Sus scrofa: one gene and its partners. The protein of the gene in region 1 purifies or fractionates together with the protein of each later gene. This does not show direct contact. Links are inferred from orthologs where the notes say so. Each region holds a gene or a part of one and is shown in the gene's direction. Other genes may lie near its edges.

What was found.
Region 2: the proteins of ARAF (region 1) and FKBP5 purify together in Homo sapiens (affinity purification with mass spectrometry; 4 studies listed by BioGRID and IntAct, with this or other methods). This does not show direct contact. The link is inferred for Sus scrofa from reciprocal best matches to the Homo sapiens genes ARAF and FKBP5.
Region 3: the proteins of ARAF (region 1) and BAG2 purify together in Homo sapiens (affinity purification with mass spectrometry; 3 studies listed by BioGRID and IntAct, with this or other methods). This does not show direct contact. The link is inferred for Sus scrofa from reciprocal best matches to the Homo sapiens genes ARAF and BAG2.

Annotation. Positions count from the first base shown.
Region 1 is NC_010461.5:42,076,628-42,081,025, forward strand, and holds the start of ARAF (serine/threonine-protein kinase A-Raf), read left to right. Parts: upstream 1-1,574; 5' UTR 1,575-1,625; intron 1,626-1,849; exon of another isoform or gene 1,850-2,748; intron 2,749-2,923; 5' UTR 2,924-2,982; coding exon 2,983-3,078; intron 3,079-3,230; coding exon 3,231-3,334; intron 3,335-4,398. UniProt on the Homo sapiens protein: Involved in the transduction of mitogenic signals from the cell membrane to the nucleus. May also regulate the TOR signaling cascade. Phosphorylates PFKFB2.
Region 2 is NC_010449.5:31,462,824-31,466,469, reverse strand, and holds part of FKBP5 (FK506 binding protein 5), read left to right. Parts: intron 1-3,030; exon of another isoform or gene 3,031-3,095; coding exon 3,096-3,252; intron 3,253-3,646. UniProt on the Homo sapiens protein: Immunophilin protein with PPIase and co-chaperone activities. Component of unligated steroid receptors heterocomplexes through interaction with heat-shock protein 90 (HSP90).
Region 3 is NC_010449.5:28,670,435-28,674,080, reverse strand, and holds part of BAG2 (BAG family molecular chaperone regulator 2), read left to right. Parts: intron 1-3,058; coding exon 3,059-3,168; intron 3,169-3,646. UniProt on the Homo sapiens protein: Co-chaperone for HSP70 and HSC70 chaperone proteins. Acts as a nucleotide-exchange factor (NEF) promoting the release of ADP from the HSP70 and HSC70 proteins thereby triggering client/substrate protein release.

The DNA of each region.
Region 1 (4,398 bases):
CGAATGGTGAGGATCCGACAAGGGGCCATGGGAAATGGAGGTTAATATGACAGCCCATTGAGCTGTACTTTTGTCTTTCTCTTTATAGACAGAGAACACCCTCAATAAATACAAGTTGAAGTGTGTTGAGGCCCCCTCACCTAATGCCCTTTCTTTGATCTTTTCCCATTGCGTTGCAGAGGAATGCCGAGGCTCCTAATGGGAGAAGGTATGCACTTCAAACACAACAGGCGGTTCATACTGTTGGGGAAATCATTACAAATAAATCGCATGCCAACCCAGCAAATCCTCTCCACAAAGGTAGCGAAGAGCGGAATAGGTTTATTATCGAATAAGCATTAAATCAGACCGTGAGGGGCATCACAAGCAATTCACTAAAGAGATTTCCGAGAAAGAAATCTCCTCCTTTCATAGAGTCAGGCAGATACAACCCATGACCTACATGGTCTTAAAGATAGATGATAACTTGTCTTCAGAACTTGACAGCACCACTCGCTACACACAGTTCCTCTCAAATTCACCTGGTAATTGGGGTAGCCATCTGCCTTTAGGCAAAGGAAAAATAAAACGCATATCTCTTTGACAAGCAGGTGATGACTTGGAGCCAGCCGCCCAGGTCAAATTCCTACGCAGGTGGAGATAAGGCCCAATCGCTGTTTACCTTTGCATTTCAAAGACCTGGCTCCCAGGACCTTAAGAACAGCATTCCTGAACTGTAAAACTGGCAGAAAGCCTATTTAGCTTTTTTAAAGAGTCGCAGACCTCTCCAAGGGACAGAGAAAAATTTTACGAGTTTTCTAAAGAAAATAAGAAAAAGGAGGATGGCGAGTCTCTTTCACTTGTGACACCAGGGAAAAGTAAACTTTAAAAAAAGACTTTGTGTTTACCGTACACACGCTTCCCTGCAGTTATGCCTCATCTCAGGTTCGCACTTCCCTCCCCTCTTCACCTGACCATCCCTGATTAGTCTTTGAAAATCCTTATCAACTCCATTCCTAAAGGAAGCCTCCCCAAACAGCAAGCAGGCCTTCACTCCTAGGGCCAGACCCCCCTGCCCTGGCCACACCAGAGACCCACTCTTATCAAAGGTTATGATTACAGTCTCCTAGAACCGGAAAACGCTGCAGAGATTTTTTTTTCTGATTCCAACCCATTTCAAAGACGGTAAAACTGAGACACAGGAAAGTCCCAAATGAGTAGTTGGGCACAGGGTCACTGGAGTGAAAAAGGGCCCTTGAGGATTCCCCGTTCAGATTCGGAAACTCCTAAAGTTAGCCCCTAGTGACCCTCCCCTCCCCACAAAAATAGCTCTGCTTTATTCCATCATGGCACGATTGGGGTTAAAGCCCATGGCACGCAGGTCTCTTCCCAACTGCGCCTGCGCGAGCCCGGACGTGCGAATTTGCCCTAGACCCTGACGTTTCAGGCAGCCCCTCCTAATCCGGAACACGACCCACATTCCGCGGGTCCTGCCTTGACAGGCGTGACCCTGATCCAATAAGAATGGAGGGCCGAGTCCAGCGGAGCCAATGGCCAAAGTCCGAGGGGCGGTGGAGGCGGACTCTGTGAGGAAACAAGAAGAGAGGCCCAAGATGGAGGCGGCGGCGGCTGTAGCGGCGTGACAGGTGAGGGCGGGCCCGGCAGGGTTCGGTTTCTGGAGCGACCGCCGGGCACGAGTAAGGAGCCGGGACCGAAAGCTCAGCTCCGGGATGGCTGCGCCCGGGCCTTGGCGCCCCCTGCCCGGAACCGGAGGAGTGGTTTGACCCGGGGCGAGACCATCGTCGACAGCACGGGGAGGGGGGGTAGACTGGAATAGGGGTGCAAGGCTGCGGGGGATGGTTTCGCCCGTCGCGTGTAGCAGCGCGCCTGCGCAGAGCTGAAAGGCTCTCAGTGGGCAGGGCCAGGCCGTATATGGGGCTGGGGTTGTGGTGTGTCTTGCTTGGAGTCCTTCTTAATCTCTCTAAGGTTAGGGGAAGACTTTCTTACCAGCAATGGGGAGTGCATGAAGACGGGGCTCACTCCTCTCTTTTCTTATTCTGGATCAATGTCCGACCCACTAGGAGAATGTTTGAGGATCTCCCACCCCTTACTCCTCTTTAACCACTCCCAGCCTCCTTCCAGTAGCAGCAGTGGTATGTCTGTGAGCCCTTCCTTCGTTGTCAGGGAGAGTTTGGAGCGCCCTCCACCCCACCCCCACTTTACCCCCTTGTACCTCTCATCTCGACCAGGTCTGGTGATGCTCCATGTCCCTCCTTTCCCCCATTATCCGCTCTTCTCCCCTTTACGGTCCCTGGTGATTCCCTAACACATCTCCCTTCAGCATTGTGTCTGCGGAGCCTCTGTGAACCCCCCATCACAGTCTGCTGACTGCCATTTGCCACCTAACACAGGGTCCGTGAGTCTACCATCATTACACCCCAAGGGCTTTGGGGTGCCCCCGGCGCCCTTAAGAACATTGTTTGGTGCAATGCCCCTTTCCCCCAAACTCAGGGCACCCTGTCTGTGACTCCTCCCACCCCACAGTATCTGGTAACCCCTCCTCCATGAGAAAGCCAGGACAGCCTGTTCATGTCCATTATGTACCTGACACGCCCCAGTGCAGTGCATGCTGACTTCCCCGTTAGTCCCCAGCCCAGAGACTTCGTGTGCTCCTGTGGCCTCCAGGACAGTGTGTGCTGCCTCTCTTTATGTCCTAACCCCCACCCCACCCCGCCCTATGCAGTGAAATGGAGACCTTGGCACTTAAGGGTGAGACAAACAACAGGAGGGGCTGGGCCGAGGAAGAACTGGATCCCTTGAGCTGTGTGGGTATTAGGCTACAGGGGGAGACGTGGAGCCTGGGGACTGAATGTTTTTTTGTCCTCTGCCACTTTGCTTCCTAACAATTGTTCCCGGACCACTGCATTCCGCCTCTGTCTTCCAGGAGCCCCATGGCACCTGCCCAGCCCCACCTGAGCCCGTCTTGACAAAGTCCTAGGCTCCATGGAGCCACCACGGGGCCCCCCTGCCAACGGGGCCGAGCCGTCCCGGGCAGTGGGCACCGTCAAAGTGTACCTGCCCAACAAGCAGCGCACGGTGGTGAGTCTGACGGGAGCAAAGCTGGCCAGGGGTGGGCAGGGACCCGGTTGGACATCGTGGATCAGAAAGGTGACAGGGGCTGGGAGCACGCCTTTGCCGAGGGCTGGGGACCCCGTGGGGCACCGACTCCTCACATCTGTGCGCACACGCAGGTGACTGTCCGGGATGGCATGAGTGTCTACGACTCTCTGGACAAGGCCCTCAAGGTGCGAGGTCTCAATCAGGATTGCTGCGTGGTCTACCGGCTCATCAAGGGGTAAGCGTGGCACCCCCCCAACCCCCACTGGGGGCCCAGCTGTCCATCCCATCCCGGAGTCATCTGACTCCTCCACGCTGCTGTGGCATCGTCTCCCGTAGCCTTCTTCCCTTCATTCAGTGACTCCAACTAGCCTTTGCCTCATCCCTTCATCGGCTCGCGGGCCCATAAGGTCAGCAGCTCATTTTCTTCTTGGGACTCAAGTCATCCTCTCCTCCTGGACGCCGTCTGTTTTGTTTTTTTGTTATTTCAACAGGTTGTCCGCTCTCTCCTTCCTCCGTTTCCTCATTTTCCATCTGCGGTGTGGGCCTTGCTCGCCCTCCATTTATTCCTCTGCTTTAGGGCTCCTTAACTTTGGGTTTGTTTGTTTGTTGCTTTTTAGGGCCGCACCTGTGGCATATGGAGGTTCCCAGGCTAGAGGTCCAATCGGAGCTACAGCTGCCGGCCTACACTACAGCCACAGGAGTGCCGCATCCGAGCTGTGTCTGTCACCTACACCACTGCTCACGGCACTGCTGGATCCTTAACCCACTGCGCAAGGCCAGGGATCGAACCCGCGTCCTCGTGGATTACTCGTCGGGTTTGTTACCACTGAGCCACAACAGGAACTCTGCTTTTTAAAAAAAAAAATTAAGTAATTTATTTTTTCTTTTTTGGCTGCCCTGAGGCATATGGAGTTCCCGGGCCAGGGATCAGATCTGAGCTGCCTTTGCGACCTACGCCACAGTTGCCACAACGCCGGATCTTTAGCCCACAGTGCCGGGCCAGGGATCAAACCTGCATCCCGGTGCATCAGAGACACCACTGATCCCGTCGCACCACAGCAGGAACTCCCACTTTGCTTTGCTTTATATTTGGTATTTCAGTGCCTCACCAGCTGCTGGCTCAGCACGTCGGAGATTTAGTTGTTTCTTCACTGTCTCATTTGCTCCTCATTGTGTGGTTAAGAGAAGAGCAAGGACTCTTCCTGCTGTCCTGCCCCTCCCAATCCCTTGTGGCTTTGGACGAGTCACTTCGTCCCCCTGAGCCTATTTCCTCATGTGCAGAATGGGGGAAAGCATAGT
Region 2 (3,646 bases), on another chromosome or scaffold:
TTGAAAACACACTCAAACTTGATCAACCAAAAACCACAACGAATGTACTGATAGTTTCCTCCCCCACTAAATGTACTCTCCTTCAGGGAGGAAAATGCTTCTAACAATAAACCTCACATAAAAAGATCTGTCATCTAAGTTGTGAGCTACTAGGATAATAAATCTCAATACTTGCAATATTTTACAATGTGTGGGCTGAAATTCACTTTGCTCAGCAAATCTTTTTTCATGAAAAGTGTCATCATGTTAATCTAAATTAAATTCCCTGGGCAGATTTTAAAATATATGAGAACACAAACTTTTCATAACTCACAAAATTCTTCAGAAACATGAGCATTTACTCTAGTAAAAATATCTTAAGCCTTGGATTCCCTCAGAACCTCTCTAGCATGTATTTGAAAATAATAAAGTTGAATTTTTTTTTTTTTTTTTGTCTTTTTAGGGCTGTACCCGCGCCATATGGAGGTTCCCAGGCCAGGGGTCTAATCGGAGCTGTAGCCGTCAGCCTATGCCACAGCCACAGCAATGCCAGATCTGAGCCGCGTCTGCAAGCTACACCACAGCTCACGGCAACGCCAGATCCTTAACCCACTGAGCGAGGCCAGGGTTTGAACCCTCAACCTCATGGTTCCTAGTCGGATTCATTTCCACTGTGCCACGATGGGAACTCCAGAAAATAATAAAGTTAAATTTATTTTGAAACTAATTTCCAATCAAAGGAACTCTCATTGTGCTGTGAGCTCCGTTGTGTTTTATCTAGAACATTCCCAAAGTGAATGAAATAGGGTCATCTGCATTCGTGAGCATGGTCCCTGAACAAAATTCCTGTGTGTTGGCTCCACCCTGACAGTCAGCCTAGCCCTTGGCCTGCTCAGAGCGTTTGACTCGAGAGTCAGGCCTGCTCTAGTTTGGCCCAAGCATCTTAGACTCCATCCTGGGTCTGCAGTGGGAACAATGGGATGCTATCAATTGTGATTTAGAAAAGGGTAGAGAGCTTCAAAGCATAAACGACCATGGGACATTTTGGCCCCTGGTGTCTGTGCCACTGCTGTTTACTCTTCAGGGTTTCTCTCCTTTCCCAGGCTTGGGCTAGAGGTAACGCGATCAAATGATTAACTGCAGGAATCAGCTTTGAAGCTGGTTTCTGGCCTATGTCAAGAGTTGTATCACTGGGTCATAGAGAATCATCGAATCTTAGACCTTCAAAGGACGTTTGAGATCAAGTATTTCAAAAGTAGAGTAAGTTGGAATTGAATTTGTATTTAGAAAATAATTGTCTCATGGAACAAGTGTTACAGAACAAGTAGGTTTGTTTTTGGTTTTTTTTTTTTTGCCTCTAAAACAAGTTATTAATCTAAAGTAGACCAACCAGTCCTAGAAAAGAAGCATTTTAGGAATTTGTTACATTTGAATCAAAGCCATTATATTAGAGAAGTGGGAATAAAGAATTTTCCTATGAAAGATAAATTATTATATTGCTTGTTGACTGTTCTGTTGTCATACAAGCCACCCATGTTTCTACCTGAGTCAAAGGCCTAAATGGAAAGGAATGAATATCCTTAACATTAAAGGTAGTTTGAAAGTTTCAGAGAGTGGTTTATGCCACAAGAAAAGGGCATAATATGTGTCTTTCCTATTTGGTCTTAACGTAAAAGCCCCTCATGTAATACGAAACCAGCCTGGGAATGAGCCGAGTGGGTGTGAGTGGAGTGGGAAGTAGGCCCTGAGAAACTGACTTCTTTGCTTAACGTCTCAAGAGTTGATGGGTGAGTTACAGCAGACTCTTGACTCCTTCACATTTTACATGTATTACCCCACTGAGTGATCACAGTGTGTTAGTTATTGATGATGTTGCCTTTGGGTTTTCTGTTTTTATTCAAACATATTTGTGAATGAAATTAAAAAAAAAAAAAGCTTCTGTATTCAGTTAACCCTTGAATATCACTGGGGATATAGCCATTTGGTTTTTTTCTTTCCTTTTTTTTTTTGGCGGGGGGTGCTGCCTTGCAGCATATGGCATTCCTAGGCCAGGGATCAGATCTGAGCCAAAGTTATGACCTATGCCACAGCTGTGGCAATGCCAGATCTTTAACCCACTGTGCTGGGCCAGGGATCAATCCAGCATCTTGGTGCTGCAGCGATGCTGCTGACCTCGTTGTGCCACAGCAGGAACTCCATTGTTCAGGTGTTTTTCAACCAAAGCATCTGAGTCCAAGATGCCATTATAAATGTTTAATACGGAGTTCCCGTCGTGGCGCAGTGGTTAACGAATCCGACTAGGAACCATGAGGTTGCGGGTTCGGTCCCTGCCCTTGCTCAGTGGGTTAACGATCCGGCGTTGCTGTGAGCTGTGGTGTAGGTTGCAGACGCGGCTCGGATCCTGCGTTGCTGTGGCTCTGGCATAGGCCGGTGGCTACAGCTCCGATTCAACCCCTAGCCTGGGAACCTCCATATGCCGCGGGAGCGGCCCAAGAAATAGCAACAACAACAAAAGACAAAAAAAAAAAAAAAAAAAATGTTTAATACATGATACTACCTGTTGCATCATCTAGCATTTCTTTTCTTTATTTTTACAGCTGCACCTGAGGCATATGGATGTTCCCAGGCTAGAAGTCAAATCGGACCCACAGCTGCAGGCCTGTGCCTCAGCTTGTGGCAATGCTGCATCTTTAACCCCCTGAGCGAGGCCAGGGATCAAACCCACATCCTCACGTGTCAGATTCCTAACCTGCTATGTTAGATTCCTAACCCGCTGAGCCGCATCAGGAACTCCCCATAATCTAGTATTTCTTGTTTTTGAGTTATAGTGGAGGAAACCTCTGTGCTATAGTAGATTTAAGTTAAACCTGTGTTTCCACTTTCTTGTCCTCTAAACTATCTTGATTGATAGTTATCAGTAATTATAAATTTAAACTTAAAACAGAAAAAGATATGATTGCTCCTAAATTTCCAGTCTAGGTGGACTAAGCTTTGACAGGACATTCCACGCACATCTCTAGATAAAATTAGGCAGGAGAAATAGTCACTCACCGCCTCCCTGAATTAGCCAGCCCCGAGGAGCTGCTCTGTTGACTGTCCCATCTCCTCTCTCTTAGTCCACCTGGAAGGCCGCTGTGGTGGAAGGGTGTTTGATTGCAGAGACGTGGGGTTCATCGTTGGAGAAGGAGAAGACCATGACATTCCAATTGGAATTGATAAAGCCCTGGAGAAGATGCAGCGTGAGGAACAGTGTATTTTATACCTTGGACCACGGTAAGCAGCATACCGTTTCCGTGTGTGGTGAAGTCATCCGAAGAACTGGGATACACTTGCTTTCTCAGTTGGCATTCTGCTGTTTTCAGCGAAGTTAATGCCAGCAGTGGAAATAATTAATTAAATCAGGCTACAGTTAGTCATGGAGTGAATTAATGGACCTGATAATATTGCAGACGTTTGTAAGCCCGTTCACTTGATTGATGTGTTCATGACAGGACTGACAGGTTGTGCTTTTGTTTTGCTGGTCATAGCGCCAGGACAGGATGCTATTGGCCCTTCTCGTGTGACTCCCTTGCCCCTCTCCCCTTTTCCCTAAGTTAGGCAGGAGGCAGTGAAACGTGGGGGCTGCAAGCAGAGGACGCATTTGGATGATTTATTGCCAGTTGAATCT
Region 3 (3,646 bases), on another chromosome or scaffold:
GACAAAACATCTTCTGTGACAGATTTTTATATTTTTGTCTAAAGCGTCTCTTTTCAAACCACTTTCTTGTTAACAACCCATGAGCTTCGTGTTGAAACTTACGCTCATAAATGGGCCTCCTTCTGTAGAGTAACTCTCAGTTCTCTCTTTATCATCCTACATGTGCATACAGGCTCAGGAGGGCTGGAAAATTCATCTCTTCTGTCGGCATCTTCTCATTTACCAATCAAGTAATTCTTTGGTGCCATTGAAATGCTGGAGTCATGTTTTGTTTTTCATGAATGTCTCATTTTTGGTGCCAAGCTGACCCTTTTGGTGTGTGCCAGGCTCTAGAGTATGTGCCTGAGGTTCCCTAGGTTATATTAGAAGATTCCAGTTTCTATTCCCTAGTGTGTATTAAAGGGCACGAGTCTGTAATGAATGGGCTGGAACACAGCCTCATGCTGCGCTCTTACTGTTTGATAGACTATTGGTTTTGATTGCATTTTCCAGCTAAATTTGTCACATAAGATTCTTCCTCGCTCTTTGCTCCTGCTGGCTCTTATAAACACAGAGTCCAGCGTATATTTAGTATCTTGATGAATTCAGACCCTGTGACTACCGTCTGTCTGTCGGTGCTATTTCGGGGGACAACAGGTGGGTGCCCATTGGGAAGAAGGCCTGCGTGTGGCTGGTGGGGAAGGGCCATCCGTATATGGCCTGTGCTCACACTGCCTGGTGGTTCCTTCTGCGCCCACGGAGGGCACGGTCGGGATGAGGTCTGTGATCTTGTGCTTCCAAGGCCGCCTGAGTGTTGGAGCTACATCTGTCACTATTTATTTTGCAAAAGTCAGCAACTTGTTTAGTTGTGGTGTAATATATGTAAGAAAATGCCCTGGAAACAGAGCACCTTAAACACACAGGATTTTGTTTTCTTCTCCCCTGATTCCACAACCTGGTTCTTTAGTGACTGGCTGAGTCCGTAGTCGGTGCCTGTGTAGGGTTGGGGGAAGTGGTGCTTTGATAGTTTGATTAGGGCATCGTACCCAAAACCCACAGAGGCATTCTCTTTAAATTCGGAGAAGGCAAACATGCCCTTGCTCATCACCATCGTTTGGGCTTTTTTTCTTTTTCTTTTTTGGCCGCCCCAGGGCATGTGGATTCCCAGGCCAGGGATCAGATCCGAGCTGCAGCTGCAACCAATGCCACAGCTCAGCAACACTGGATCCTTAACCCACCGTGCTGGCCATTGTTTGATATTATATAGGAGGGCTTTGGTCAGTACTATGAGAAAGAAAAATAGGAGCTAAGAGGATTAAAAAGGCACAGATAAGGATTATCGTTTTTGCAGATGATATATATGATCATCCATCTAGAAGAACCAATGGAATCAAAAATCAAACCATTAAGTGAATAAGTGTTAAGGTGGCAGCTACAACATGAACTACAAAAACAGCATTTTTTTTTCCAACCAGCAATAGCCAACTAGAAAATGCAGTATATAGAAATGTATTATTCCCAATACCAACACTATCCAAAGTATCAAAACACTTAAAAGAGTCTGTACAACTACCATCAGTACTTCAGGGAGTTCCCGTTGTGGCTCAGGGGAAACAAATCCAACTAGGATCCTTGAGGTTTGATCCCTGGCCTTACTCAGTGGGTTAAGGATCCAGCATTGCTGTGCTTTGTGGTGTAAGTCGAAGATGCGGCTCAGATCTGGCGTGGCTGTGGCCGTGGTGTAGGCCTGCAGCTGCAGCTCCTATCTGACCCCTAGCCTGGGAACCTCCATGTGCCTCGGGTGCGGCCCTAAAAAGAAAAAGCAAAGGGTGTTGGTATAACAACAGGCACAGTGCCGAAAGATGGAATAGAGACTTCAGAGGCAGACAATCTACAAATCATTGAGGGAAAGATGGATTTGGGGATGGATAACGTTGGAGAAAATGGTTCACTATATGGAGAAAAAGAAACACATCTCCCCTAGCCACACACACAAGGTGGATTCTAGGTGGATTAGGACATAAGCATGGAAAGGTGAAGTCAGACGTTAGTAGACGGGGGTGCAGGAAAGCGTCTCAGGACCTGGGGAGGGGAGGGCCCTGCAGCAAAACTTCCCGATATGAGCCGTGAGGTAAAACCAAACCAAGCAGAGATGGACCTGACCCCTTCAGAACAAGGCCTTCTGCTCCATGAAGGACGCCCAGACACACTTCACAGGGGACAGGATGGGAGAAGGTGGTTGCAGGGCCTGTCACCAACAGGGCATTAACGCCTTGAGTGTGCACATGGCAGGGGGACAGTAACCCCAGTGTGCAAAAAGAAAAAGCAAGATAGGCAAAGGCTGCGAACAGCCTCACAAGGATACGGAGAGATGTCCAAAGTGATGAGTAATGAAAGAAGGGCAGATTAAGTACTGACGCAGCACCTACTACACTGACAGCAGAAGGTTAGAAAGTTGGGAAATGCTGAGCTTTGATAGGGCTGTGGGGACCCAGGGGCTTTCTGGAGAACAATCCAGAATGGAGCTGCATGAAGGGTCCGCACACCCTGCGAGGAAGCCGCCCTGCCCTGGGATGGTGCCTGTTATCAGGGCCCCGAGAGGACAGGTTGTCATTGACCTGTTACTGGAGGTGACGAAAAACTGGCGCCGAGGTACATCTCTACTGGGTCGGGGAGGTCAGGTCAGGTGGGGACACAAGGTGGCATTTTATGCGAGACCTAGGAGCTCCTGATTACACGTACTCGGAGGAACCTGGTGCTTCGTCATAAAATACACTGCGTGAGGGCAGAAACAGTGAGATATAAATAAGTTGAAAATAGGCGAGCACACAAGTATTCCGTTTTTTTGTAGAGCAAATACAAATAAATAAACGCTAAACAGAACTATTGCCCAGTGAGTGGGGAGGAAAATGGGAGCAGCAGGGCAAGTGGATTAAAAAGAAAACTTAAAAGCACAGAAAACAAGGAATACGGCATTTTTGGTTAACCATCTTTAACCGTGAGTTGGACTGAGGGATGGGGAGATGAGGCAGCCGTTCTGCTGTCTGGGTTATAACATCTGGCCCCCCTTGGTCCCCAGGGTGGAAGCTCTGCGAGAAGCGGCCACTGCCGTGGAGCAGGAGAAGGAGGTGCTGCTGGAGATGATCCACAGCATCCAGAACAGCCAGGACATGCGGCAGATCAGCGAAGGTGCGCTGCGGGGGGCGGGGGGGTGGGGGGGTCCTGGGGGTGGGTGGGGGAAGGGGGGCATCAGCAGAGCCACTCCTCCAGCCCGAGAGCTGCTCCAGGTCCATGCTTCCAAGAAGGGCCAGAGCTGTGCGGGATGTGAAAAGCAGTAGCGTCAGAGGGTGAGAGGTTGGGTGGAGGTGTCACTTAAAGGGGAGAAAGGCAGAGAAAGTGGATTATGGACCCAGTGACACCCGTTTCCAGAGGAAGAGCTTACTGCCCAAGAAGAGATGGGCTTGCTGGGAGGTGATTCTCTGCACACCCAGTGGTCCTCCCAGCCTGGCTCCCCGGGCTAATAGTTGCGTTGCTGGTGTCGTTCAGTGAGCGTCTAGCCCAGACCCAGACTGCTACGCAGCCTCAGCAGGGTCAAGATGTCAAGATCTAGTCTCTCTCCACTGTTCTGGCCAAAGGTCCTTGAATTGGGAAGGGAGTTACAGAACAG